Linked DNA regions of Rhinolophus ferrumequinum. The protein of the gene in region 1 purifies or fractionates together with the protein of each later gene. This does not show direct contact. Links are inferred from orthologs where the notes say so. Each region holds a gene or a part of one and is shown in the gene's direction. Other genes may lie near its edges.

The links.
Region 2: the proteins of FGF11 (region 1) and UBE2O purify together in Homo sapiens (affinity purification with mass spectrometry; 3 studies listed by BioGRID and IntAct, with this or other methods). This does not show direct contact. The link is inferred for Rhinolophus ferrumequinum from reciprocal best matches to the Homo sapiens genes FGF11 and UBE2O.
Region 3: the proteins of FGF11 (region 1) and AHCYL1 purify together in Homo sapiens (affinity purification with mass spectrometry; 3 studies listed by BioGRID and IntAct, with this or other methods). This does not show direct contact. The link is inferred for Rhinolophus ferrumequinum from reciprocal best matches to the Homo sapiens genes FGF11 and AHCYL1.
Region 4: the proteins of FGF11 (region 1) and SIRT1 purify together in Homo sapiens (affinity purification with mass spectrometry; 3 studies listed by BioGRID and IntAct, with this or other methods). This does not show direct contact. The link is inferred for Rhinolophus ferrumequinum from reciprocal best matches to the Homo sapiens genes FGF11 and SIRT1.

The regions. Positions count from the first base shown.
Region 1 is NC_046304.1:11,434,004-11,440,999, reverse strand, and holds the start of FGF11 (fibroblast growth factor 11), read left to right. Parts: upstream 1-3,990; 5' UTR 3,991-4,097; coding exon 4,098-4,290; intron 4,291-5,920; coding exon 5,921-6,031; intron 6,032-6,222; coding exon 6,223-6,326; intron 6,327-6,903; coding exon 6,904-6,996. Other genes in the region: TMEM102 (transmembrane protein 102), read left to right, coding at 409-622, 714-2,035.
Region 2 is NC_046304.1:51,120,782-51,127,656, reverse strand, and holds the start of UBE2O ((E3-independent) E2 ubiquitin-conjugating enzyme), read left to right. Parts: upstream 1-3,856; 5' UTR 3,857-3,926; coding exon 3,927-4,343; intron 4,344-6,875. UniProt on the Homo sapiens protein: E2/E3 hybrid ubiquitin-protein ligase that displays both E2 and E3 ligase activities and mediates monoubiquitination of target proteins. Negatively regulates TRAF6-mediated NF-kappa-B activation independently of its E2 activity.
Region 3 is NC_046305.1:41,996,842-42,004,381, forward strand, and holds the start of AHCYL1 (S-adenosylhomocysteine hydrolase-like protein 1), read left to right. Parts: upstream 1-4,536; 5' UTR 4,537-4,894; coding exon 4,895-5,014; intron 5,015-7,540. UniProt on the Homo sapiens protein: Multifaceted cellular regulator which coordinates several essential cellular functions including regulation of epithelial HCO3(-) and fluid secretion, mRNA processing and DNA replication.
Region 4 is NC_046299.1:46,617,929-46,625,673, forward strand, and holds the start of SIRT1 (NAD-dependent protein deacetylase sirtuin-1), read left to right. Parts: upstream 1-4,734; 5' UTR 4,735-4,794; coding exon 4,795-5,200; intron 5,201-5,330; exon of another isoform or gene 5,331-5,426; intron 5,427-6,562; coding exon 6,563-6,679; intron 6,680-7,745. UniProt on the Homo sapiens protein: NAD-dependent protein deacetylase that links transcriptional regulation directly to intracellular energetics and participates in the coordination of several separated cellular functions such as cell cycle, response to DNA damage, metabolism, apoptosis and autophagy.

The DNA.
Region 1 (6,996 bases):
CATTCTCTTCCCAACCCTTGAAGCTACCCCTCAGAGAGAAGCCGCAGACCATAAGCCTCTTCCGAAAAAGAGGTAAGGGGAGGTAGACAAAGGGCAGTGGAGGAGACTGGCTATTGTATTCTGTAGAAGGAGCACAACAGCTACTTTTTACCTGCTGAGTCAGATGAACCTGTCCATGGGGGCGGAGACCAGCTTATGAGAAAGGGCAAGGACTGAGGAGGTATTTATTTGTTGGTTTTCAAGTCTAAATTTAGAGCTGTCTGTCTGCAGACCCATTAGCGGATTTGTCTGGGGTACTTTCGGCATCGGGAAGAGAAAAGAAACGAGGAGACTTTTCGGCAGCAAAGGAAAGGCCTGTCTAGGCCTCCTCCCTTCCGTGTTATCCCTAACAGAAAACGATAGAGCCACATGGCTTCCGCAGTCTGGGGAAGTGCCCCTTGGTGGGGCCCGCCGCCACCAGCCCCAGCCCGCCCGCTCACGGACATCGACTTCTGCTCTGGGGCACAGCTGCAGGAACTAACCCAGCTTATCCAGGAGCTGGGTGTGCAGGAGAGCTGGAGTGACGGGCCCAACCCGGGACCAGACCTCCTTCGGGCCAAGAACTTTGTTTTCTCTTTGCTTGGTAAGTAACCCTCCCTGCCTTCAGAAACTCTCAGCTCTCAGCCCCGCCCTGGCTTTGGGTAATGCCTTCGTGATCCCTTCTCTTCCCGTAGGTCTTGTTCACCGCCGGGACCCCCGCTTTCCTCCCCAAGCGGAGCTCTTGCTGCTTCGTGGCGGGATTCGCGAGGGCTCCCTGGATCTGGGGCCTGCACCCCTAGGTCCCTACGCTAGGGGACCTCACTACGACGCCGGCTTCACACTCTTGGTGCCCGTGTTTTCTGTAGACGGCACTGGGCAGGAGCTGCAACTGGACGTGGAATCCTGTTATGCCTGGCTCTGCCTCCCAGAACTGATGCACGGAATCTCTGTCCGAGAGGCTTGGCAGGATTGCCTAGGACCACCAGTCCCAGGAGGACGTGATTCCATGCACCGAACAGAAAGCGAAGAAAGCCCCAAGGACCAGCAAAGCTCCGTGCACCCGCCACACAGTTATGTCACTGAGCCTGAGCCTCTTGTGTCTTCTTTGGAAAAATCACCTAGTAACGGTTCGGGGCCCGAGTCGCCTCTGCAAGACGTAACCGATCCTGGCTTCCCCGCACCGCTGAAAAAAATGAATGGTGACGTCACCAAAGCAGCAGTGGATAGTCCAGTCCCACAGCCGTCGGAGGCTCTGGAGGCGTGGCCCACATTGTGCCCTGCCAAGGTGGCTGCATGGTTCTTTGCTATGCTGGCCGAGGTCGCGGAGTCCCTGTACCCGGTCCCGGGTGCCCCGCGCTTGGTCCACGCAGCCCGCCACGCGGGGTTCACCACCATTCTCCTGGCTACGCCAGGGCCTCCACGCCACCTCCTACTTTTCGACCTGATCCCCGTGGTGTCTGTGGCTGGCTGGCCGGAGAGGGCTCGGAGTCACTCGTGGGCCGGCCCGCTGGCCTCCGAGCCCTCCTCCTTCTACCTGGTGCCCAGCGGCCGCATAGATCGGCGGGGCGCTTCTGGCTGGCAGCTGTGCTTCGCCCGCCAGGAGCTGGCGCTCAAGGCGCGCATACCCGCTCCGCTACTGCAAGCGCACGCAGCTGCCCAGGCGCTGCTGCGCCCGCTGGTGGCGGGGACCCGGGCCGCGGCGCCCTACCTCCTGCGGACGTTGCTCTACTGGGCTTGCGAGCGACTGCCTGCCCTCTATCTGGCGCGGCCCGAGAATGCGGGCGCCTGCTGTCTCGGGCTGCTGGATGAGCTGAGCCGTGTGCTGGAGGCTGGGACACTGCCCCACTATTTTCTGAGCGGCCAAAAGCTCTGTGCGGGGGACGGTCCAGCAGCGCTGCTCTTAGCATTGGCTCGGCTTCGTGGGGACCCTGTCCGGGCCTTGTGCGCTGCGGTGGAGGAGGCTAAGGCTGCGCGCAAGGGGGGCGGCTTGGCTGGCGTGGGAGGTGGGGCCCATTAAAGACTAGTCCTACCAGGGTGGAAAGTGCTTCTGTTAGCTAGCAGAATGTGGAGCGGACTGCGCGCCCCTTGCTTGGGAGACTAAGAATCCTGGACGCAAAGATACCCTTCTAGAAGGCCTCCTGGCCCGTCATACTACCCTTTTCCCGCCTCAACCCTGTTACAGGTCATCCCATTCTGGCTTTTCCACTCTCCAAATCTGTGACCAGTATCCCTCGCATCCTGGTGCAGCCTCTAGCAACCATCTTCCCCCAATTCTTGTGGTCTTTTCTTTCAGGAGTCAATAGGGATGGAGGAGGGGGTATATTTACTGACGAAACGTGGAAAGGAGAAGTATGGAGACCAGAGACAGACCAATTTGGCTCACACAAAAGCAGAAATATTAAGGAGGCTGGGTTTCACCCCAGGCTAGATCTCGGGTCCCCCACTCTCATCTCTTCAGTTATTTCCCCCGCTGTCTTCATTTAGTTCTGTCCTCCCATCCCAGGCAGTAGGGTCCCTTTTGCCCCCTTGGGGTGTCTGCCATTCCATCTATCTTAAGCCCATCTCTCCCCCCATCCAGCCATTCCATTCAGTGGTCACCACCTTGTCCCTTCTCTGAACCCCGAGACGTGCGGCTTTGCCTTGGTTCCGCCTGCCTCTTTGACTGTCCCCACTCCCTGCCTCCAAGGAACCCCGGGGTTCTGCTCGCCCATCTTCACCCCCCTTTCCCTGCGTCTCCGCCCCCTGCCCCGCCTCCCGGCCTGCTCTCCAAAAAGGGGGAGTTGCGGTAGTCGCCGCCGCCTCAGCTTCCCACAATCGCTGCCGCTGCCGCTGCCGCCGCTGTGCTTGATCCAGCAACCAGGCCCAGTGCTCTGACTGCGGGACCAGGGCTCTCTGCGAGACACCCTCACTCTTCTTTTGGAGTCCGGGGCGCGGAGCCGGGTGTGGGGGGAAGCTCCGTTTGCGGGGGACAGGGAAGGAGGAGCCTGGAACCGGAGCCAGCGCTACCCGTTGCCGGATCAACAAGACAGGACAGATTGAGGGGCGTCGGCAAGAGAGAGGGGTGCTACAGGCAGTCGCCCGGAAGATGAGGAAGCCCTGTCGCAGAAAGCTCTGATACGCTCTGACTTGTAGGGGGCCTATTCACATTTGAGGATTGGTGACAACGTGGGTGTACTCTTTTCTTAAGGGCCTTGTTAGATTGGAGGGCGTGGGATCTAAACAGTACCAGCTGTCCCTGAGGAAATTAAGGGACAGCCAGAAAAACACCTGGCTGCTCCTTATTTGGAGGTGACAGAGGGCCCTCCAGACAACCACCTGGTGTATCCACTAGGAAGGGTGGATTTGGAGGTGACTTCAAAAGGAGTAGAGGGTAACAAGGTGAGGAAAGAGACTCAGCAACTGGAACCCTGTGCCGCTAGAAATGGGGATGACTTGGTGAAAAAAGGTATTGTCCAGAAACAGAGTCTGGGAACCCCTTCTCACTGAATGGGGACAGCCTGGATATTCTAAGACACAATTTGGGGGGTATTAGAGTGAAAAAATGTGGGAGACCCTCTTCACTTAGAGGGTGGCAAAGACACCAAGATTGGGTTCTTCCCTGACATTGTCAAGGCCCCAGTAGGGGTGGGTGAGCTAATATCCTCAAAGCTAAGGACCCACACCCACTTTAGATTACAGGAGTGAATACAGGAGCCCCAAAATAGGGTGGGAAGGTACCTGGGGATATTGGAACCACATTTTGGAAATTTTGGGGGTCTTGGTTTTGGGATGGGGAAGTGGGGACAGAAATAACTGGAAAGAACGGGAAGGCAGAGTTTTCTGTAGGGGGTAAAAGTCGAGGGTGGGGTAAACTGAGAGGTACATAGGCTGTTGGGTCCAGTGGAGCTAGCAAGGGGGCCCAAGGGTGGAAGCTGGCGGCTGGGAGTGGGGGTGGTCTGAGGCTTGTCCTCAGATCCTGTGGGTGGGGCGCTGAGTCTTGGGAAAGCGTCAAGACCATGCCGTGGTAAGCGGGCTTCTCTGGGGGAGCACAGTGTGCTCCGAGCGCCTGCCGGTTTGGGGGTGTCTCCTCCCGGGGCGCCATGGCGGCGCTGGCCAGCAGCCTGATCCGGCAGAAGCGGGAGGTCCGCGAGCCTGGGGGCAGCCGGCCCGTGTCCGCGCAGCGGCGCGTGTGTCCCCGCGGCACCAAGTCCCTTTGCCAGAAACAGCTCCTTATCCTGCTATCCAAGGTGCGACTGTGTGGGAGACGGCCCGCGCGGCCGGACCGCGGCCTGGGTGAGTGGCTGGGGCGGGGTCTCCGGGACTGGGGTTTCCGCCTGGGAGGTTGAGGTGAGGGGCTCTGAAGAGTGGGGCCCGACTCAAGGGGGCTCCCGGAAAGTGAAAGGGGATGGGCCAGGGCAACAAAGTCTCTGCCAGTCTATGCCTCAGTTTCCCTTACGTTTTGCCCATAACCCCGAGTCTCCTTGATTTCGAATGCAAAGGGAAGGCTTGAGGGCTAAGTCTGGGGCCCCAAGCCTCGCAGCTCCGGTTCGCGCCCCCCACCCACCACAGGGTCCCCACCCCCATCGTCCTTTGCCTACGTGCGGGCTCTCGCGATTCTTTCAATCCCGAGCCGAGGGGCCTGGGGGTTCCGGACGCTTGGGTCACCCCGAGGGTTTCTGCGGCTACGGCAGCCCCGACCCCGCCCCAGTTCTCCCGCTCCTCCACGCCTTGGCTCGGTTACTCCTGGCGGAGCTTGCCTGGCTCGGCGCCAACCCCCCCAGCTCTCCCGCGGGTGTCCTTGCAGCTACCTCGCCAGCCCGCCCCTCTTGTGCGCCCTCCTCCCGTGACCTGAGCTTCAAGAGGGGAGCTGGGCACCCCCTCCGTTACCCTCCACGCGACTCCGAAATCAGGTCCCACGAGCTCAGGGGACCCTCTGCTGCGAGGAACTCAGACAGTGCAAGGCTGGTGGGAGACCTGCACTGAGACTGGGGGGTCGTACCACCTACAAGGGGGTACAGGGAAGTCGGCCGAGAGCAAGCGACCGGGAAGGGGAGTTGTGAAGGTTTGCGTGTGATCCCCGTCCAGGTACGACAGGCAGAGAGTCCCTCTGGCCCAGCTCCCAACTTCCCTAGGGGTAGCCCCCTTGCGCCCTCCGCCCCCCGCAGCGGGCCCGCCACAGTGGTATGGCCCACAGCCCACCCTTTGAGTGGAACCGGGCCCCCACGTGACTCAGCCTGCCCGCCATCTCCCCCGCCCCTCCCCCCATTTCCTTGATTTGGTACCGAATGTCCCCCACCCCAGGAGGTTACCTGCCAGAAGGGGAGAGGCTGAACCTCAGGAAGGGCTGGGCCCCCGAGCCAGCAGACTGACAGACAGACTGACAGATGGGTCAGTGTCAGACAGGCCGGCGCTGGGCCAAGGCGAGGCCCGCGCCAACCGAGCCGCAGCCGCAGCAGCAGGTGCTGAGTCAGCGTCAGGCCCAGTCCCACCCCCACTCTTGAGGGGACGCCCCTACCCTCTGGTCACCTTGCTGGCCCCCACATTCACAAACACACTGCCCTTTCAGCAGCCCTGCCTGTTCTCCCTGTGTCCTCTGCCTTTTCATGGATCTCTCCTCTTCCTCTTCCCCTTCTCTGCCCTCCCCCACTTCTGGTTGAGCTGTAGAGTAGGAATTAATCCATTTAAATAAATTTAAATAAATTAGAAAGCTGGTGGTTAGAGGAAGCAGAAGGGACCCACACCCCAGCTTCCTCAGGAGTCAAAAAGAGGTGAGAGAGAGTTTGCTTGGAAGGTCAGAGAGGTGGGGCCCAGGGACTCTATTCTTTCCCTCCACTCTCTTTCCTCTGATCCCATCAAGTGTAGGACTGTTTCTGGGACCAGAGATGTCATTTCCAAAGATTAATCTCTCTCTCTCTCTCTCCAGAGCCTCAGCTCAAAGGCATCGTCACAAAACTGTTCTGCCGCCAGGGTTTCTACCTCCAGGCAAATCCCGATGGGAGCATCCAGGGCACCCCAGAGGACACCAGCTCTTTCAGTGAGAGGGGAAGCCAGCAGCTGGGTGGGAAGGGGGAGAGGGGTTAGATGACAAATCCTATTCTTGCTTCAGGTTCTGTTATTTTCAGTTTGGCTTTTTAAGTTCCAAGGGAGGAAGTGGAGCTGGGATGGGGGGAGCTCAGATGGGTGTTCAAGGCCTAGGGCACTGACACTCCCTCTCTCCACCCCCAGCCCACTTCAATCTGATCCCCGTGGGGCTCCGTGTGGTCACCATCCAGAGTGCCAAGCTGGGTCACTACATGGCCATGAATGCCGAGGGGCTGCTCTACAGCTCGGTGAGATAATGAAGCAGAGTGGCCTCGGCTTTGGGGACTGCCCCAGCTACAACTTTCTCAACTACAGATATTTTGCAGCTCAGGAATCCTCCTCCAGCTCTTGCTGTTGTCCTGTCATTACTGCCCACTCCAGAGTACCTCCTCTAGGGTCCCTCTAATCCTTACTCTTCATGCAGCCTTCCAGACGCCCCCAGGCTCTTTGAATGTCCAACTCTCTCCAACTCTTTTCATCCGTTTAGGGTTCCCATTTCTCATCCTACCTCCTCCAGAGTTGTGATTACTCACTTCCCCAGAGTCATTTAGGATAGGGGATGGTGAGAGGTTGGGAATAGAGTGGAGAGAAGGTATCTTCTTACTCTAGGACCCCAAATGTCTGGTTCCTAACCCTCAGGGGCCTACAAGACTCTTCCTTTTCCTCCTTTTCTCTCAATTCCTGCATGGACTCAGAAGTTGGCCCTCCAGCCTGAAATGTATGGATTATATCCTGGCTTGTTCTTCTCAGGGCTCCCTTCTGTCCAGTGATGTGTCTATTTGTCTCTCTGTCTGTGTTTGCCTTTCTGGGTCTTTGTCTCCTCAGCCACATTTCACAGCTGAGTGTCGCTTTAAGGAGTGCGTCTTTGAGAATTACTATGTCCTGTATGCCTCTGCACTCTACCGTCAGCGCCGTTCT
Region 2 (6,875 bases), about 40 Mb from region 1:
CCTCCTGGAGAAAGAAGGGACCTATGGTTCCCTGAGCAACTGGAGCCTTCTGTCCAGTAGAAAGAAAGATCATGAGAGCCCGTGTGGGATTTTTCAATTTTCTAGTAGCCACATCAAAAAAAGCTGAAAGAAACAGGTGAACTTGACTTTAGTAATATGTTTTATTTAACCTAATAGATACATATATAATATTGCCATTTCAACGAGTAATCAATATAAAATTATTAATGAGATATTTCTTTTTTTTTCTTGTTTTTGCACAGAGTCTTCAAAATTCAGGGTGTATTTTATACTTATAGCACGTGTCAATTCAGACCAGCCACATTTCAGTGCTCAAGAGGCACATATAGTTAGGGGCTGAAGACTAAGGAGAGAACAACAGTGTGTGTATGTGTGTGGGGGGGTGTATGTGTGTGTGATGAGTGTGAGTGGATGTGTGAGGTGAGTGTGCACATATAGGGTGTGTTTCCATATCTAAAAAATTGGAGAGCTGGGGACTTGAGGAAAGATGGAGGTGTCCCAGACACTTGATGCATTGAGGGCCACTGGGAGAGTTGAGCTTGTTTTGCTCAATCATTCAACAAGAATCTCTTGAGCACCTACTGTGAGTCAGACCTGTGCTGGCTGCTGAGATACAAAGATGAAGAAGACACATCCCTGTCCTCAAAGTTCATGGTCCCATGGGACAGACAGGAGTACAAAAATGGTTGTATAGAGAGTAAGAGACACGACCATACAGGTATTACCAGGTAAAAGGGGGAAGTGGGGCACTTGGAAGACTTGATAGCTAAGAAGGCCCACGCCAGCTCTTGTAAGGGGAACAGGAGATCTTTAGGGGAAAGCAGGTGTTGAAGCAGCAGAGGAATAAAAAGTTCCAGGCAGAGATGGCAAATAAGTGAAAAGGCACAAAGGCACCAAAGAGTTGGGATCCTTAAGTAAGCAGCTGAGGCCAGAGTATGGGGCATGTGTGTTGCGGTGGAAGATGGGTAGAGGGAATCAATTCATGAAGGGCCACGTGTGTCACTCTCTGGTGGACCATGAGAGCCGCTGAAGCATACTGAGATATTAAGCCGACCTTATTGCTTATCACTTATTGCTCAACTTTTTACTGTTGCCCCCGGCACAAAGTGTTTTCCCTAGTGGATTGCAACCATTCCTCAGAGTCAGGAGTGAGAATGGCCACGGGCTGGCCTGTCCTGACCCTGGCTGTAATGCAAGGTCACCTTGGGCAAGTCCTAGGGCATCGAGGCAAGGAGGGGTGAGGCTCCAGGAGCAAGGATTGCCCCTTTATCTCCAAAAGCCCACAGCTTGAGCAACCCACAGCTGGAACCTCAGGCAGAGGCATTTCCCCAGCCAGACACTGAGGGTGTGGGAGGGCTCCCTAGAGTAGCGCCCCTCCCACCCCTCCTTGGCAGCCAAAGCCCCCAAGAGCTGAAGGCACCCTAGAACCCCCAAACACCAGCTCCAGGGTGGGAGGAGTTCTCTGGGCCCATAGGGATTTGTTCATACAGGGAGGCCTGGAGAGGCCAAGCAGGCTGGGGCTCCCCTAGGGGGCAGTGTGCACACTTTGTGGGTCTGGAGAGGTGGCTCAGTGGCTGATTAAGATAGGGACGAGACAGGGCCTGCTTCTCTGAGATCAGTTCACTTTGCTGCCAGCTCTGCTGCCTCCCGCACCCCACCACTTCCTTAACAAGGGGAGTGGCCAGGCTGCCTCAGTTTCTGGCAGGCATGTTTGTAAATAAGCAAATTCTCCTGAGGAGTATCTCTGGTCCCCAAGAATGGCTGGGTGTTGGGGCCATGAAAGGAAGGGTTTTTCTCTATTGGGGAATGAAGTAGTGTGTTTTTTTTTCTTTTCATCCAACAATTACGAAAACAAAAACTAAGCAGATGCTCCCATCTGGGCTCTACTCTCCAGCCTGGGTGTGCAGAGACTGCGGCTGGGGGCTTGGGGTCTGGAAGTCAAGGCTCAAACCATGCCCGGAGTATCTCAGGTCTGAAGGAGGCCACTGAAGGACACCATGAGGCGGGGAGTGAGGTACTGAGCCTCTCTCTCCGAAAGGGCTCAGATGAAGCTCAAACTCGGGGCAACAGAAAGGGCTTAGAAATAGCATGGGCAGCTCCGTGGTGTATGGGGGAGGGGATAAGAAATTGACCAAATGGGGGAACAGGAATCTCAGGCCTTTGACACCACCAATATGGTACATTATTGAGCACCAACACTGTGGCAGACACTGAACTAGGTACCAGGGTTACACACATAAATGTGACATAACCCACATATGTGCTCAAAAGGTGTTTAGTAGAGGAGAGATTGGCATTTGAAATCAAGGACTCTTACCTACAGCCTAGCAGGTTCCTGTTGGGGTGGGGGACAGCACAGTGTGGCATGATGCTTCACGGAAGGGACGGCTCATACTTCCTCCCTCGCAGGCAGGTAATCTATGTAAAGCACTTAGTGTGGTAGCTGGCATTAAGTTGCAGCTCAATAAACGGAGGCTATTATTAGCCATTATTACAAGAAGCTGCAGAATAAACATGGCACATCTTCCTGGAGCGTCAATTTTACCCAACTATTAGGGAGGAAAGGGCATTCTTTTTATAACAAGCACAGGCAGAAGCTGAAATAGAATGCAAAACTCACTTGGATTTTTGACATCAAAGATTTAGGACCTGCATTGCCCTGCCCCTTTAGCCTATTTGCACACCTCCATCCCCTGGCGGACACAGCAACTAGAAAAGCCCCTGCATGTGGGTTTAGGAAATCTGGGTTCCAATTTGGATCTGCCAGTTACTACCTTCTGACCTTAGGCACTGAATTAGTATAATTACTTTTTATATTTTAAAATGGCAATATAAAGCAGACCATAATAGTTCTGCCAATCTAGAATTTTAGTCCAGACAGGAGTGGGGGTGGGTTGAAATATTATAATAATGGTTAAGCTTTATTGAGAGAACTGTATGCCAGGCACTGTTGTATTTCATTTAATTCTCCCAAACACCTGATGAGACAAGTAGTGCTATTATCACCCCTATTATACAGATGAGAACATTAAGGTGAAAAGAAGTTTATCACTTGTGTACCTTTATAAGATTAGTAAGTGGCAGTGCCAAAAATTGGAATCCACGGCTCCCACTCTTAACTGTCTGGCTATCTTACCTCTTGCCATGTATATCCAGCCTCATGGAGCTTTGAACTCATCTAGATGGGTTTAAAGGCAAATTGGAGGGGCCGCTAATACCTGCTGCTCTTTCTGATCATTCTCTGAGCCTCCTTTATTAACCGCTTGACGGATCCCTAAGGGGTCATGATCTTCCAAGCTTTGCACGGAATTTCCTAATACAATATACTTAGATACACTGGACATACCTATTACAGCCTTGCTTACAAGCTGAATTGGAGTCGCTTTTTAGCAATTTAATGTGTATATGTTTTGTCTCTCCAACTAGGTTGTATACGCCTAGAGGACAAGGCCTGTGTGCCTTGCTCTTTCTGTATCCCTCCCGTGCCTAGGGCTTAGGCAACAGACGCCAGGGGAACTCGTTAAATGTTGTTGACAGTCTCGGGACCATCCTCCGCCCCACGTCGGCCACTCCCATTTTCCTCGGTGACCACCCCACTTCCTCTCCCTCGGTCCCCACCCCTTCCCGCCCCCTTTACTTTTATCCCCCCCAGGCCCCACCCCTCTCTCGTGGAGTCCATCCTTTAACATCCCCCCACCACGGCAACATCTCCAGCGTCCCCTAGCGACGAGGCGGTAACTCCTAGCAACCGCATCTCAGTTCCCTGACGACGGCGGCACGTAGGGGCACGTCAGCACGCCGTGGCCCCGCCCCCAGCGCCGGCTGGCCCCGCCTCCCCGAGCCTTGGCCGCCGCTGCCGCTGCCACTGCCGCCGCCGCCGCCCGAGAGACTCGCGCAGAGCAGTTATGGCGGATCCCGCAGCGCCCTCAACCGCAGCTCCGGCTCCCGCCCAGGCCCCGGCCGCGGTTCCGGAGGCGGCCCCGGCCTCGGACGCAGCCCCCGCCCCGGCCCCGGCGCCCGCCCCGGACTCGGCCTCCGGGCCGTCCTCGGACTCCGGCCCCGAAGCCGGCTCACAGCGCCTCCTGTTCTCTCACGACCTGGTATCGGGCCGTTACCGCGGCTCCGTGCACTTCGGGCTGGTGCGCCTCATCCACGGCGAGGACTCGGACTCGGAGGGCGAGGAGGAGGGCCGCGGGAGCTCGGGCTGCTCTGAGGCGGGGGGCGCGGGCCACGAGGAGGGCCGGGCCAGCCCGCTGCGCCGCGGCTACGTGCGCGTCCAGTGGTACCCGGAGGGCGTCAAGCAGCACGTGAAGGAGACCAAGGTGCGGCGGGCCGGCCGGGGCCGGGGCTGGCGGAGGGTCCGGTACCTGCTGGACCCCTAGGCGGGGAGGGGAGGCGTGCGAGGCGCTGCCGGGAGTGGTGCAACTGCAGTGGGCCGAGGTGGGAGGACGAGCCTCAGCCGAGGGGACGCTCCGGTGCAAAGTCATTGCACCAGCCCTGGGCCACCGGGCCCCAGGCTTCCCCACACGAAGGGACTTCCAAGCTCGACTGTGGTGTGGTGTGGGCCTCAAGGTTATGTACGTGGACCCACTACCGTGGGGAACTCCTCGGGCTCTGAGGCACGCTGGGCATTATTACACCAGTGCGGCGTTTTGCTGACCCCCGAGGAGCTACATACTGCATTGTGCACCCAGAAAGGAGGGCCTTGCCGGGTCGGTGCAGGGAGGGGGTGTGGGCATCCCAAAACATAGAGGTGAGCATCTCCGCCGACACAAAAACCCGAGAAGTTCACTAGATTGCAGAATGCGTTATTATGGGTGAAGAAACCCAGTCCCTTTTTGTTTTACCTTGTTGTCTCATGTTCATTGCTGCGGGAAACTTTATGAGTGAAATCACTAACGATCAAAGCCTTGATATTAATAGTACTGGGGCAGGGGGATGTGACAGCTGCGACTGGGATTGGTGACTTCTAAGTGCAGTCGGAATTCCTGAAAAAGCTTACAACCATGGATGGAGGAGAGCCACCCATTGGAAACCTGAAGGGTTTTTCTTGACCGGAGCTGTGAAGCAAACATCAGACTCGCAGATGGTATTGGGGTGAGGCTGGTGAATATTGAAACCAAGGGTTTTATCGTCAGAAACCTGAAACCTTGAAGCAAGGTTGGTTTGGTGGCTCTCCATGTCTTGTTTGCCTGAGTGTGAATTCCTATCAGTGATTCACACGCACACACAAGCCTGTATCTTTCACCCTTTCTGCACCTCCTCCCCCTTCTCCCCTTCAAGAAAACATTTCTAAACGGGAATCAGGCCTGAGCTGTTTTGCTGCCTGGGATTGAGAGGTCTGATCTCCGGGAGGGCACTTCAGAAATTAATCTGGGTTACTCACATACTGAGACAAAAGCAGCAGAGGAATAAGCCTTCATGCCACACTACAGAGGGGGTCCGTGATGAGGCCTTGGGCGTGGAAGAGAGCCCCACTTCCAGGAAGCGCCTGTGATCTGTTTCCTAGTGGTAGAAGTGACGGCTGGTACCAGCAGGGTCTTTTTCCTCGCCAGTGCGCATGCATCCAGACCCAAATCTGCACACAGGACACCTGGTTTCCCCTCAGAGAAATGCAAATCAGGCGATAGCTTCTCTGACTGGAAGAGAAAATGATCAGTTCATGTGCAAAAGTACGTGGAAAATACTACTTTTTGCAGCAAAGTACTGGTTAAAAATTACCACCAGTATGATTAAGTCGGGAAGAGAAGATTGTTGCTCTATACACTGTGTCTGTACATTGTCTCACTAGCAAACAGTTGCTAGTGCCTTTCCATGGGTTTTTAAAAATGTTTTTCCCTAACCACCTTCTCTAGAGGTTTGTGACTTCTGGAATGTAGCTCATTTGCCTCTGTCATGATGGCCTCCTGCCCTGGCGCTCAGGGAAGCGTGCCCAGCTCACCACTGGGAGCTGCCATGTTTATCAGTTGTTGTTCCTGCACATCTTGACTTTGGTGGTTAACTTTGTTTATGGTTATGTTCCCTCTGCCTCCCCCGACCATGTGTAATTATATGCTTAAAGTACCTATTTTGGAATTAAATAGAAAATAGCTTTGAGGCACCAGCTTGGATGTATTTTGAAGTTGCCTTCTTGCGACTTGCTTTGAATTTGCTGAAATCCATTGTGACTCCAGTGGTGGTGTTTTCTTTTGCCATTGCAGTTTCTGGAGCTTCTGGGCTTAGCAAAAGCTCAGGAGCGTTGGAATTCCAGGAAGTGGTGGCGTATAGTGCTCATTTATGGATGGCAAGACCCAGTTGCCTTTTAGGACTTGAGAATAGGTTTGTTTGGGCGTAGGGGAGAGTTTCTACTTGACAGGTAGCTCTCATCATCCTGTGCCGTAGGCACAGATGAAGTGATCCAGGTCGGCTGAACATATGCTTTGCTCCTGGCTACCAACTGGGTCCTGGGACCTTGCAGCACTGGTTTAGGAAGATTTTCCTTCTCACCTCCCATTCCTTATAAATCCATGGCGGTAGCAGCATGTTTATAGAGGAAAGACTGTAAGACCGAGACAGAGCACTTAGGCTCTGACTTCTCCTCCATCACTAACCTGGTTATGAGACTTGAGAACCCAGTTGTTGGTAGAGTAATGTGGTGACAGTCTTGACAAACTTTTTTTTAAGCTGCTGCCAATTGGAATTTTTTTAATAGTGTTTTTTTTAATGTGGAGTGAGCTGTGGAGTATTTTTGTAGTTTTCATGTTAATTTAGTGGACAGTAAGTAAAGGCTTGATGTTAGTCTCTTAATTTCTTTTACATTCTTAATGCACAACTTCAAAGAGAGATGAAGAGGCTGGCCACCAAGTCCTACCCCT
Region 3 (7,540 bases), on another chromosome or scaffold:
ACTTCCCCCCGGGCCCTTTTTATAGCCAAGACAGTTGGCCCCATTATTTACATTTTTGCTCCTTCTCTCTGGCAGGACCTGGGGCTGTGATCCAACCTTGTCTGTTTGGCTTGAAAGCCCCTCCCACTGTGACGCCTACCCTGATACACACTGTATTTATATTGCATTAAGTTAGAAACAACTCAAATGCCCCACAATAAAAAAAAAACAATTGAGAAAATTCCTATGGCAATATGATGGAGCACTTAGGAAATGCTGACGACAGGTATGTAAACAATAATGCACTTTGAAATATCGCAATTTGATCAAAGCAGAACACAAACGACATGCTGATCACAGGTATGTAAAAGTGAACACCTGCAAATTAACAGGAATCAGAAGTGAACTTAGAGATATATAAAGAGATTTTTATCTTCACAGGCTTTCTTTTCCGATAAAGATTATGTTTGAAATAATGATAAATAGCACAATAAATAATAAATGTCATAGTAAGCAAAGGAGGTAGAGAAGGAGTCTTTCTTGGCCTCTGGGGGACTGCTCATCTTCTCCAAAGAGCTGGAATTGCAGAGAGGGGAGGCAGGGAAGCTGGAAGAGGGGAACCAAGGAGCTGGGGAAGGAGGAACCAGGCATGCCTGAGGACCCCGCGCTGGGAGCCCCTGGGGAGCAGCAGGGCAGACTGGCAATCTGGAATCTTGCTCGAGGGGCACCCTTCACCTCAATGACAATGTCAATGGTGCCACCCAGAGTGTGCCGTGTGGTGGTTCTGGGACAGAAAGAACATGGGAGGGCATCCGCTGGATGGATGTAGAGCCATTTACCTGTTTCCTTACTTCTATGGTCACCCAAGATCTCCAGCAATCTTTCTGCACTTTTCATTTTAGAGGACTAAAGGGGGACCTGGCCACAGGAGGTGAAGGAGCTACAGGGAGAGTACGGCCTTACTCTTGAGGAATGCCAGCCTGGCGGGGAGCAGATGGGTGGGAGAGGTGCCAACCTAGGCTCCCCTGGGACTTGGGGACAGTGAACTCCACAAACATTTCAAAGTCAACATGCCTTAAGCTGGCTCCTTATCTCAGCAGCCCCTGCACCCTGACCTGCTTCTCCTCCCGCTTTCCCCATCCTGGTGGACATCACCACTGTCTACCCGTGGTTCACCAAGCTCTGCAGGACCTGGCTTTGGCCTCAGCCCTTGTTCTGCCCTACTTTGCACCCTGTGCCCCACCCACACTGAAATATTTAGTTCCCGTAATACGTCAAGCTGTTTCATTGTCCTGCTTTTTGTCATGCTAGTCCTTCAGCCTAGAATCCCTTCCTTACCTTGTCCAGCTGCTTACCTGTCAAGAGTTCAGGTCAAGCAGGTCTCCCTCTACAAAGCCTTTCTTGCTCATCCCTTCAACCCCCACCCCTACCCTTGGTCCCCAGGTAGAGCTCAGGACTTCATTTGTCCCTGTAGTCCAAGATCTAGTGCTGCTCCTGGCATATCATCAGCATTTGATGTATATTTTATGAATTAAAAAAAAAAAATGAATGAATGTGGAAGGTGATTTTGGGGGTTGAATTTGATAAACCAGACCAAGCCCACATGTGGTACCCCAGTGCCACCACATTTCTGATAAGAATGTCTTCCAAGTCATTTCTACTCCTTTCTAGAGCAGGGTCCCCTCTAGTCCTTTAGGCCATTTAGAGGCCACTTAGAGGCCTGGCCCCCACCACACACAAGTACACCGCTCCTTGGTCCCTGCGCTCCTCAAACACTGGCCCCTGGTCTCTTCTCTGATCTGTGTGAGGGTTATGCTGTTCAGGACAGTGAGCCCTGACACACCTTCCTGACCCATTTCACAGGTGCTGAGTCACCAGGTAGATGTGGGGCGGTGGGGGGGAGGCGGGTGGTGTTGAAGACAGGCAGCTCTCGTCATCCATGAGAGGCAACCCCCTTAGCGGGGCCATGTGGGGCCATCTAGGAGTGGGGGCAACACACAGTGTTTCTCACTGATATGTCATCACACTCTCGGGCTGGGTGAGCTCTTTGATCTCCAGTCCACTGACGGTACCGGGAATGGCAAGCATCCATGTCCTCTACAGCAGGCTGGTTTCCAGGAATGCCCTTGGCGCTGGCCCCTGCTGCCTTTCCACCAGGGCAGTGTAAGCCTGCCTTCCAGCCGAAGCACTTCCAATTTCCCTAAGTCAGCCTTCCCAGCCTCCCGTGGGCCAGGCATTCAGGTAAGTGGAGTTGGACCTGTTGATCTCCTTCTTGGCTCCAACCGCAGAGGTATTTCTTCCTCTAGGCAGGGCCCTGTCTTTACCATCCTCAGCAACAGTCAATTCTGTGAGCCTGCTCTTACGGGAAACCTGTTACTTTGGTTGAGGAGTAAAAGAGAGGCTGAACTTCAGTCTCGAGGAATCTCATAGTTTGAATGCTAACATGCAGGGCAGAGACTAAGCTCTTGGACAACGGGAGTTTAGAAAATCAAATCCAAAGGACAGACACATGTATGCTTTTCTTTTATGTTTTAAAACAAGCTAACTTAAGCCACGTGTTTTCCTATTCGAAAGATGTGGAGTTTGACCTCTGTTCCAACTGGCTCTGCCTCTGCTCTCTGAGCAGGCAGCTCTGGTTCCTGGGATCCGATGACAGTTTGGGCAGACACACAGGATGAAACCTACTTCACGCTGTACACCCAAAGCATCCTGGGTGGGCAGGGGGACTCCTGGTTCCAGCTGGGAGACGAAGAGGTAGGTACCAGTGGCACCTCTGAATCAATCTGGTATTCCGACCCCCCCCAACTTTCTGTCCCTTCTGCTACAGGAATGTCTTTGAGAGAGGAGACGAGGGGCTTCGAAGAGTGGGCAGATGAGAGACTCCTAACAGTAAAGATCAGGATTTGCAGAAGTGTGCATCTTTCCAGTAGCTTCCATCGTCCACTTTTAAACAGACAGCCTCACGGGCGGGGCTGGGTGGTTGGAACATGGGCTTCTGTGACTAAGACTTCTGGGGCCCCAGAGGCAAGTATTTCACACTCTTCCCAACCTTGAAAATAAACCAGTGTTGAAAACCACAACTTCTTTCTTGAAAGAGTTGACCCTGTCAGATAGCGAGTGGGTTTCTAGATATAAAAAGGTGGACTGCGGGGTGGGGTGGGGTGGTAATTTAGGAAAAGAGAGCTGGGAAGACTCGAATACTCATCACAGAGCAAAGAATCAGGCTTCCCAGAGTCAATCCAGGAAGGGAGATGAGGCGGAGGATGGGAAGGGAGTAGCAGGAGGAAGCTAGATTAGACACAATGGCCTGGGGAGCTTTGTGGGGTGGTGTCGCCAACGAGAAATCCCAGGTGACGATATAGCCAAAATAACTTTTCAGAACATTTCAGAAATGTGATTTTAAATTGTTTGCTGTATGATGTAATCTCTCCCCTGTGGCCAACAAATTTTCATTAAAAGTTCTACTACATGTTATAGCATTATTTGTGTGGTTGTTTTGGAATAGGGGGTGGGGGTTGGAAAGAACAGGGCTGTGTTCCCTATGTGAATTGACCGCAGGAACTAAAGAAACAGCCACCAGACCAGAACACTGAATAACACTTCGCATGAGGCAGAAAACTAGAGCCGGAGGTAACCAGGAAAATCAAAGTTCCCCCAGTAATACACTGAAATCCTGGGGAGGGCATTGGACTTTCCACAGGACGTGGGAGTTCAAGACAATGTCATCTGAATCTCCAAGGACACGCTACCTTAGGTGACATTAGGTTACAGATATGCTTTGCCTCTCCAGCTGGACTAAGCCTTGCAAAACATAAAATGTATCACGCGGATCTTTACTATCCAGGGCCTAGAACAAAGACAGAACGTAGTAGGGCCCAATAAAAACATGTGAATGGTCCATGAACGCCCTGGGTGCCACACTGGTAGCTGACCGAATCTAATGGGGGGCGGGGAGGGAGGGAGGCGCGAAGCAGGAAAGCCTTTCAGTCTGGAAACTGCCCCCTCCCCCCTCCTGCTCTCCACCCCTCTGATCCATTAGCCCTATCCCAATGGCCAGATAACATCAGCTCTGTGGCCTAGAGGTCTGTAAACAGGCAAGGCCCAGCGAAGACAGCGGTGGAGGAGGTCACAAAAGGTTGTGCAGAAACCACATTGCTCTGAGTCTGTTCTGCCCACTCTTACGGAGTCAGAGGCAAACACTGCCCCTTGGGAAGGGGCTTCTGGTCTAAAGGGCTTGGGTCGGAGGCAGTGAGTGAGTGGGCTGTCTTAGGCCCCGTTGTTTCCTAGGACTGGCTGCAGGATGTGTCGTGTGGAGCTCTGGTCTTTGATCCCAAGCACCCCCTTACGCCGTTCTGAGGCCTTGCGGGGAACCCCACAGCCCAGTCTCCCCAGTTCTGCGGCATCCCTGCAGGAACCACGCGCCGCTCACAGGGCTGATGGCGCCACCTGGCGGCGCCCCGGAGCCCACTCACTCTGGCAGCTTCACCCGCGAGCTGGGAAGTAGGAGGGGTGGCTCCAGGGGCCCAGTCCTGCGTGGTGACGTCATGACCCAGCGCCGTTTCTCCCCGCCCATTTCCCCGCCCCGGAGCTGCCAGTACTTGACGTGGCGTCACCACCCTCTACCCTTACTTTGCGTGCGTGTGTGCGTGCGGCGGAGGTGGCTGCGCGGGCTGGTCGGAGCTCGGCGTTGCTGCTTTTGGGGCTCCTGTCGCCGCCGCGCTGTCCGGCTGTCTCGGGCGGCGGAGCGGACGAGGCGCCGGCCCCAGCACCTCGGCACCGGACGCGGCTCAGCGTGGAGCCGGGCGGGAGGGTGGGCGAGCGCGTGTCGGAGTGCTCCGCGCGGGCGGGTGGGCGGACGCCCGAGAGGGAAAGAGGCGGGGGCGGCGGATCAGCCGCGGGCCCGGCCGGCCGGGGGATGTCGATGCCTGACGCGATGCCGCTGCCCGGGGTCGGGGAGGAGCTGAAGCAGGCCAAGGAGATTGAGGACGCCGAGAAGTACTCCTTCATGGCCACCGTCACCAAGGCGCCCAAGAAGGTGCGGGGGTTCTGGGTGGCGGCGGGGGCCCGGACTGGGGCCTCGCGGAAGGGGCGCGAGCGAGCCCCGGGCTCCAGCTAGTTCGCGACTTTTGGGGCGAGGGGATCGGGGACGACTGAGATGGGGTAGAGGTGGCGGGTGAGCGGCCCCAGGCCTATCCCGAGCTGGAGAGGCCGCCCCTGACCTCACTTTCCTTTGTCCCTCGGCCCCAGTCCTTCGGGATCTTTTTGAAACCTGACAGGGCTGGGCCTTAAATTTGTCCGTGACTTTTCTGGGGTGAAGGGCCTCGAAGACGGGAGTCGGAGGGGGCGGACCAACTCAGTTGACCCTTGTTGCCAGCCCCAGGGGATGGGGGTGTACAGAAAATCTCCTTTCAAATGAGTGGGTAAATCTGGTAAAGCTTCTGTAGGCAAATCTTTGCAAGCAGTGGCCGGTTTATCCAACAACTGCGTGCTAGCCTGGAGACAAGCGGGAAAAATGCGTGGAGCTAGCTCTGTTATGCAGGGGAAAGCAATGAGGGCATCATGAGATTGAAAAGAAAACTGTGATTTTTCACCTACAGTCATCCAGTTGCTTCGACACCCGTAAAAAATTAGTATGTGGAGGTTGGTGACGGGAGACACTGTCATGGATACAGGTTGATCGCAGAGTCGTGAATAGACCACTTGGGCTTTCCTTGAGGAGGGAGCTAGGGTGGGTTGGACGGGTGGGTGGTATGGAGCGATTGCTCATTCTTGCCTGCACTTATTGAGGCAGAACAAGTTTCCTCTATTGTACTGTGGGTTGAGCTCAAAGGACGCCCTTCTCATTCTCTTGTCGTGCGTGGAAGATTAAATGGCAACCTTTGGAGCTTTCAGTCTAACGAGCTCTCAGAATGGTGGAATTAGGATTCCTGGTGCTTTCTGAGCATTTGCTGCCAACCACATCTTGACTTTCCACATACCTGGCATCCACTTAACAGTACACCAGAGAACCTTCGCAGAGAGGTGACCTTTCTGAAACCAGTGAGAACCTGGATAAATATTTCCCTCTTGGATAAAAAGTGTTTCAAGGCTGTCCCTGCCTACAGCGTTTGATGGATACAGTGCTTGTATAAGCCAGGAACAAAGCCAGGTTTGCAGGAATGGTTAACAATCCTTAAGGCTCCTTCATCTGAACTAGTTAAGCTGTCCTAAATGGGAGACAGAACTTTTTTTAAGGAAATTAATCCACCTCTCCAGAAATCAAATGCAGGATCGAGAAGACAAGTCACGATTCTGTGGTTTAACTCCATTTTCTCACGAAATTGAGATCTTACTAGTAGAATGCCTTTAAAAGGGTGGTAGAAAAACCCTTGATTCTAAGGAGCCTGATTAAGCTTATTTTTAGTGCTCTCAGTTCAGCTGACTGCTTTGTTGGGCAGTAACCCTTTGCGATCTGCATTATATGGAGACACAGACACAGCCTTTATAAGCAGAATGCTTAAGGGCAGTGCCTGTGATGAGTTAGGGAAAAGACCTGGGAAATCGCTGGTACCCTAACTCCCTGAACTCTTCCTCTTCCCCGTTAGCCTGTCCCTCCTTTGGTTGCTTCAGGGATTAGGCACCTTTATTCGTACTTGCCTTTATTTTAGTAAACCTTTATTTTTGGAAATGCTGCTATTAATAAGACGAAGTTTGTATTGTAGATTGTAAACTCCGTCAAGGCAGGGACTCTGGTTCACCATTGTATGCAGTGTGCCTAACTGTCTGTACCTAGCATCCAGTAGGTACTCAAATAAGTGCCCGCCTGGCTAACTAGCAATTAAGACGTCTGTATGGCTGCCTACCAGGAATAAATAATCCTTTTTCCTCTTTTCTTCCCAGGAGGAATATTGCTAATGTATTATTGTCAGGCCAAGTGCTAATGATTTTAGAGATTCATTCCATTAGCTGACAGAAGCAGTCTCTGCTAGGAATTGGGGAAGACCCCGTGTAAATTTCCATTTGCTGGTAAATGTGTCCCCGTGTTTCTTATTAATCTTGCTCTTTCTGAGCTTTTATTGTTTAGCATTTACACAGCACTTTGTATTAAAGTGCTTTATGATGACTAATTACCCTTCCCCAATGATGATAAAAGGCATTTATTTAGTTGATGAGTTGGTCGAGGACTAATCAAGGTCATATAGCAGCAAGTTCTAGGCGATCCATTTTTTCAGAACTTTGGCTGAATCGGATATGTTGACCTAAGTCACTTTTGTACCTGTGCCATGCGTTAATACTGTGAGAAAGCATGAGGAAAGTAAGAGAAAAAATGTAGCTTGGCATGTGAGAAAAAGGCCTCTTCAAATGGTGCTGTCCTTCACCTGTGAGGATTCTGGTATGGCTCTCTAGACCAATTAATTCCTGGAGCATACGAAGCCCTGAGGCCCCTTGGGAATTGAGGACATTTCTGGTGCCAGTCAGAGGGTATAGGTTACTTCAGGGTGACTTTGACAGTCCTCAGATCAGTTTCCAGTGTAACTGGTGAAATTTTGTTTTCTTTGGGGAAGAATGGATGTCCGTCAAA
Region 4 (7,745 bases), on another chromosome or scaffold:
AAACAACAGATCTTTTTAATGGTTACATAATGTGCCACAGCACGTGTGCACCATAATTTGATCAACAGGTTTACTATTGAAGATATCTGGATTGTTTCTTGACTTTTTCCCAGTAATATTAATGCCATAATAAACATTCTTGTATTCATATCCTACATATTCGCATTTTCATTTCTTTAAGATAAATGGGATTTTGGATTGAAATGTATATGTATATTTATAATTTTAATAAATATTTTCAGATTACTTTCCCACGCTATGACAGCAATGTATGAGAGTGTAAGTTTCCCTGTATCCTGGTGAGAGATGGTAACAATAAAATTTGTTTTGTTTTTGCCTATTTGAGGAATGAAAAATAGTACCTCATTGTTTTACTTGCATATCCCTGACTAGTAAATTAGAACACATTTAAAATTTTTATGGTGTCAAATATATATATTTTAAATGGCTCCTATCTTATTTAAGAAGCTTTCTTGATAAAAAGTTACATAATATACTAAAATGTCTTATATTTCTATTGTATTTTTTCATTTAGATCTTTAATCTACCTGGAATTTATTTTTATATCTAGTGTGAAGTAAGACCTGTATTTATATTTTTCCACATTAATAACCAGTTATGCCAATACCACTTTTTTTAGTACATAAAGTTGATACTAACTTCTCCATTAATTGTAGTCACATAAGACTGATACCAAAGCTATAAGGCCAATTTATTTGTTTACATAAACAGAGATTTCAAGTCAGCCAGAATATTAATGTTGGCTCTTTGACCATTTTCTCCCCAGTGGGTAATTCTACATGGGAAACTAAATTACTGTTGAAGGCTGCTCAGGGGGATTAGGTCTAGAAAACAAATTAAAAATTTTAGGGACTAGTGTCTGAGTCTGTGACAGCCTTTGATATAATAAAATATAAACACTTTGTCCACTCTTCCTGATACAGAACTCCTAATACTCTTGGAATTTCCTTAATGATAAGAAGGTCTTTTATTCTTTTCACCACTCCTGAGTTTATGCTAGTGAGGTAGCTTAGGGTGGGGTCCCCAGAAAGCCTCAAGATGAGGCCAGAAACCAGAAAGACCACGTGATTAGAAGGGGGAACTTTTAGCCCCACTCCCAACCTCCAGGGAAAGGGGCAGGTACACTGGAGACTGAACTCTATAGAAACTCTTAACAAAGAGATTCAGAGCTTCTGAATTGGTGAACACATCCATGTACTGGGAGGGTGATAAGCCCCAACTTCATGGGGACAGAAGTGCAAGACCTTTCTGGACCTTGTCCTGTGTACCTCTTCATCTCTGCCTGTTCGTTTGTATCCGTTGGAAGGATACAGAAAATACATTTACTTTGTAAATGTAAGTCATGTATCTTCCTGAGTTCTGTGAGCCATTCTAGGCAATTACTGAACTTTAGAAGGATGTCATGGGAACTCCCAGTTTCTATGCACTTCATCAGAAGTACAGGTGGTCTGGGACTTATTGGCATCTGAGGTGGGGTAGCCCTGTGAGACTTAGCCCCTAAACTGTGAGGTCTTCACTAACTCCAGGTAGTGTTAGTGTCAGAATTGAGTTGAATTGTTGAATACACAATTGGTGTCTGGACAATCAGAGACTTGGTTGTTGGTGTTGGAAAACACCTCACAGTCCAATGTTATGTCACCTTGTCAAACAGAGTATCAGAAACATGTCATATGTTTTACTAACTTTCTCACCTGAACTGTGCTGAGAACAAAGTGAATTTCCCTGTTTCGCTTCTTTCTTTTTTTTTTTAGGATCTATGCCAATAATTCTTTTCCTATATGGAAACCTTCACTTAGATTCTTCATTTATTCCATTCAATAAATACACATATATGTGCCAGTTATTCCACTAGAGAGCTAATGATACAGAGTTGAACCAGATGAACAAAATTCCTGCTGTAGTTGGGGGAGGAAGTCAACAAAACACAGAGAAAAATAAGTTAAGGACTAAAATAGGGGAATGTGCTTTATAATGTACTGAATAGGGAGGACAGAGGCATAGGCAAAAAAAGTATGACAAATACATGGCAGGCATGTATGTATTTTAAATGCTTCCAGAGTTATTTTGTACATATATAAGCAAATACATACATATATACATGTATACACATATGGTCTTCCTTCCACACTCCCCCTTTTATTTTTTTCACAAATAGCACTACACTATATACACTATTCTACATATTGCACTGTGCAGCTTGGAGATCATTCCATACAAGAACTTAAAGAGTGTCCTCATTTCAAAAAAAAATGGCTTAATAATATGAAAAGCTCAATTTAGAGTATATTAATGCTAAAAATATTTACAAGGCTTAGGCCAGATTCATGGAAGATTTTAAAAAAACTGAATATGAACTTGTAATAAAATAAAATAATCGGTCTTTCTGACTCCATCTTGCTCGTGCCTGACGTGTTAGTTAGCAACTTCTGCTTAGTCCTGCATGTAGATATGCTAGTCATCTAACCTGTAGCCTAGAACTTACTGAAACAACCTTCCTGCTTGAAACTACCTCCCTAAGGAGATAAGGAAGGTATGTACAAAAATATTGTTTATCAAAATTTTTATAGGAATCTTGTGACTAAGATCACGGCAACCAGAGTTTGAAGTTTCATCATCCCCCTTGGACCCTTGCTGACCTCCAGATGTCTGAGCTCATCAGTCACATCCTGACCTCAAACCCCTCCTGTTCCCCCTTTCCCCTGACATAAAAGAAACCTGCATTCTCTATCTTCTCAAGAGAAACCTTTAGGACTCTAGTCCACTATCTGCTCGGCTTTCTGAATAAAGTCGTTTCCCTTGCCCCAACGCCTTATCACTTGACTTACTGGCTGTCCTGTGGTGGTACGAGCTTTCACTCCATTACAAATTTGCAAGCTTTAGGCACAAAGAATGACTTGAATTTCAGGCAACTAGTTCTCAACTACTGGTAGACCAGAAGTCTAATTACGTTTGTTTTATAATACAATTTCTATCTCTCATTTATTCTACTTGCCATGAGTACCCCATTTCTGACATTTCAGCACATTAGTGATCATATAGCATTTCATAAACACCAGCAAGTATCTTTGATAATATATATATATGTGTACACACACACACAAATATATATATAAGTAAAAGAATGTCCATAAGCTTACAAACGTCTATCTCAGAAAAGCTGGGAATTTTGTTTCTATTTTGATGGGATACTGCCTCTCAACATTTCATATATTACAACCCACCAATGTGGTTGAGAATCAATATATAAAATATCTTGTAGGATAAGATAGACAAAGTGGAGAGACAACAGGGCCAAGTACGTCAGCCAGGAAGGATGAGGTGCCTGTGTAATTAGGAATTGGAAAGAGTATAGGAGGGAAGGAAGAACAGGATTTGGTACTGATTGTATAGAGGGCATCAATCCGAAGGAACACTTCTAAGATGATTCCAAGGCTTCCAGGAAGAAAGAGATCACTTTCAGAAATGAAAAGAAGTGACCAGTTGTAAGGGGAGATTCCTAACTTAATTTGAGGTACAAAGACTTTAGATGGGACCTCAGAGATACATTTCCAACATTGTAATTTTTTTTTTTAAGAATGAAGAAACAGCAAGTTGTTTGCCTAAGTTCGCACAAGTTAATAGGCGTGGCAGGCAGGACCCACATTACGCTTAAGGGATGGTTTACTGTAAGCTCGGAGAGGTCCTGTAAACGGATAGAAACCCAGTGCGCGAGAGGCAGATACCCTACCAAACACTGACTCCAAACCTGCCAAATTTTATTACATGGGTCCCTAGTGAAAGCTAGATACGGAGTGACAGAGTCCTGGAATTTCAGGGAAAGTGGAAAATAGAGAGGCAACAAGTAGGGAAAGAACTATTTTCTAAACTACCATGTACCCGTCATTTTACATCTGGCTATCTCATTTAATTCTCACCACAACAGTATTACCATTTTTTAGCGATGAAACCAAGCTAGAAGGGAAGAATCTCCAATTGCAACCGAAACCCAGATGTGTATAGGGGCCAAGTCATGCTCATCCCGCACTCTCCTTATGCTGCCTCACCTGACCCAATACACTCATTTTAACGAAGCCCGCTCAAGGGAACACCCACACATTTGTCAAAGGAGTTGTGTGTGTGTGTGTGTGTGACACATACCATTGGGGATTTTACAACTTACACTACACTACAAGTGGAGAGTAGGGGGAGAAGCCATCAGCTAAGAGGAGAAGCAAGGAGAGAGAGGAGCTGTCAGAATGGTGTGAGGAGTGAACTGTGTCCTTCTGCTTCTACTCATACCCCTAACAAGGAGACTATCCAACACACTTGAGGGAGCTAAACCTTGGCCAGCTTCATTCCTTATTGCCTCTCAGGAACTACGATTTAACCCTTAATCTAGAACAAGCGAGGTGAGCACTTCAGACAGAAGTGGAAACCCGCAGTGTGAACCAAAATTTGAGCCGTGCCAGCGGCAGTGACTTCAGGACGGTTTGAAAGACAAGTTGAGAAACGGGCGAGTTTGGCTGCATCACGCGCCTGAAGCCAAGCGGTGGGGCCGCAGCAGCTCCTGCGGCTTTTCCTCTCGGCCCACGCCGCCTCCGCCCGCCACGTGACCCACCGTGTTGTGGTGAGGCCCGCGTGGGTGGCGGGAGCCGCGGGAGGGCGGAGGCGGCGAGAGGTGGGTCACGTGACAGCGTTTAAATCTCCCGCAGCCGGAGCCGCGGGGGCGCCACTGCCGCGAGTCGAGCGAGAGCAGAGGAGGTGAGGAAGGAGGGCCAGAGAGGCAGTTGGAAGATGGCGGACGAGGCGGCGCTCGCCCTTCAGCCCGGTGGCTCCCCTTCGGCGGTGGCGGCCGAGAGGGAGGCCGCGTCGCCGCCCGCCGGGGAGCCGCTTCGCAAGAGGCCGCGGAGAGACGGCCCCGGCCTCGGGCGGAGCCCGGGCGAGCCCGATGGGGCGGCCCCAGAGCGTGAGGTACTGGCGGCGGCCGGGGGCGGCCCGGCGGCGGCGGCGGCGCTGTGGCGGGAGGCGGCGGCGGCGACGGCGGGCGGGGAGCGGGAGGCCCAGGCGGCGGCGGCGGGCGGAGGAGACAATGGGCCGGGCCTACAGGGCCTATCCCTGGAACCACCGCCGGCCGATGATTTCGACGACGACGACGACGAGGGCGAGGAGGAAGAAGAGGCGGCGGCGATTGGGTACCGAGGTGCGCAGGGCGCGGGCGGCTGGGACTGCGCATTCCCTCCTCCCTCTCCCGGGGCCCCTCCTGGTGTGGGGTGGAGGGGTCTCGGGTGGGCAAGGGCTCAGGGCTGATTCTGCCGCGACCCTCTCCTTACCACGGCCCTCAGCTGCGCGCCTCCGGGGCTGCCGGCCTGGTTGCAGGAGCGGCCTGCGGACTCGCTCGCTCCCTCCCTCCCGTCCGTCCCTTAGTCCGCGGCCCGCCTTAGCGGCCTCGCGCTTTGCGCAGCCGCCGGGCGGGGAAGCTCTCGCAGGTTTTAAAATAAGTTTCTTTCCCCTCCTACTTTTTTAGCATATTGCTTTTATTTAACATCATTCCCACCCTTCATCCCAGCCCCCAGCACTCCTAAATCTGCAACTTTTGCTTATCCCTTGCACCGACTTTTTGCAGTTGTCTTTGCAAATTGACACCTGTGCAATTTGTGACTTTTTGGGGGGAGGGTCTTTATTTTTAAATTAGTCTTGAAATTGGAAGAGCAAAGCTATTTCTAATGTAATAGCCTCCAAATTTTGAAGAGCTTAGCTGTTTCTAAAGACATTACTCTTGTGGTGCAATTAATAGTGGACGTAGAAGAGTGACAGTACTTTGAATAGTATTTTTCCTCTAATCATGTTCTTAAAATAGTTTTAGGATTAGGTATAATCCTTTATTGTGTGTATATGTAACCCTGAAATACGACTGACATATTTTGGCATACTAAAGCAGATGTGTTAGTTGTATATGTCATGTCATCTTTGAGGATTTCATATTTTCGATGTGAGGAGTTTCTGTCCTGGATAGATGTGCTCTTCATCATTTGTATCAGTAAATTTAATCAATGGACCATTGGACTGTATTTAAAGGTAACATGCATTAGAGACTTGATTAATAAGAAGACCTCATTCAAGAAACAGTCGAATAGGGAAAATGAATAATGCAAAGTTATCTTTGTATGTTTAGTATTTTATAAGAGAAGTGCAGATTGCCCTAGTTACTTGGAACAAATTTTTTTGGTTTTTATTTGACAAGTTTCATGAGCTCTATTATTTGTGATTGATAAATTCAGTCTAACTAGATTAGTACTTCTTGTGTTTTGATTAAGTAAACTTATGTCTAGATTTTTGTGTGAACTGAAACTTTTAGATTGTGGGCAGAATCCCTAAAGATGAGGATATATACTGTGCCTATGAACGGTGCAAGCAGACCTAGTAGGCATTCTTTACACAGGCAATATGAATGTTAAGTGCTTCATTCATTGAAAATTGTTGCATCATAACCACTGTAGATCTTCATATATTTTAGATGCAGACTGTTTCAGTAGCTTTGAGTTACTTTTGGTTTCTTTTGTAGATAACCTTCTGTTTGGTGATGAAATAATCACCAATGGTTTTCATTCCTGTGAAAGTGATGAGGATGATAGAGCCTCACATGCAAGCTCTAGTGATTGGACTCCAAGGCCACGGATAGGTATGGTTCCACAGCTTTTAGAAAGTAAATGTCTTTTTCTTTGTTTTAATTTTAACGCCAACTAAAAATATAATTCTCTGCCCCCTTATAACCTAGTTATTAGGTTCCTTAGGTGCTTGCTGGATTTAATGTCAGCTTATTTTTCTAGGGAAAGTCTAGTGCTTTGTTTTTATTTTTAAACAGCTCAGGCCCATGGAAACTGGCCTCTGGTATTTCTCAAACAACCAGGTCCTTCTCACAACTTGGGTCCTTGGGTCCTCTTCGCTGGTACTCAGTGTGGAATGCTCTTCCTCTAGAGTATCTTGCTTCCTCACTTCCTATCCATTCTTCATTTTTTTCTTAACACATCATCACTTCTCAAGCTTTGTATCTTAACTTTTTTATTGTGTTTCATATACTAAAATATACTCGGAAACCAGTTGGGGGCAGGGATTTTTGACTGATTTGTGTACTATTTTGTTAGTACCTAGGTAAGTGCCTGGCACATAATTTGTGTTCAGTGAATCCGTATTAAGTATGTGGATAAAATGGGAAAGTATTTTGAAATAGAGAACACTATTCAGATTTTTATTACCAGTTATAACATGACCATCTTGAAAGTGATCTTTCTCTTAATGTGCTCTCATTCTTGACTATTTAAATATAGTGATGGATAGTTCCTTTTTAGGATCCATAATATTTACTATATTTTTGGTTTTTTTCAAGCTAGGATACTGATTTAAGAAATGCCAGGCGAAAAAATATTAATGCTCAAAACCAGCACTGTGTGTATCATTTTGGGAGATTGATTAAGATCAAATTGAAGATTATTACTGGAAAAATTTTAAAAGATAGTAGTTATGTATAGATTTATTTTAGGTAGATATTTAGATATCCTTTTCTTTTTCCCTATGTCTTTAATGATAAACAGTATGGGATTTCGGGACTGGTAAGATCTATCCTATATTGATTTGGAGAACCCTTTTGTACATATTCGTGTTATTAATTACAGTGTGTATTTCTGGATTTTAATGATTGAAATTTAATTCTGGCAATTAGTTTGACTCCTAAAATACATAGCTTGAGG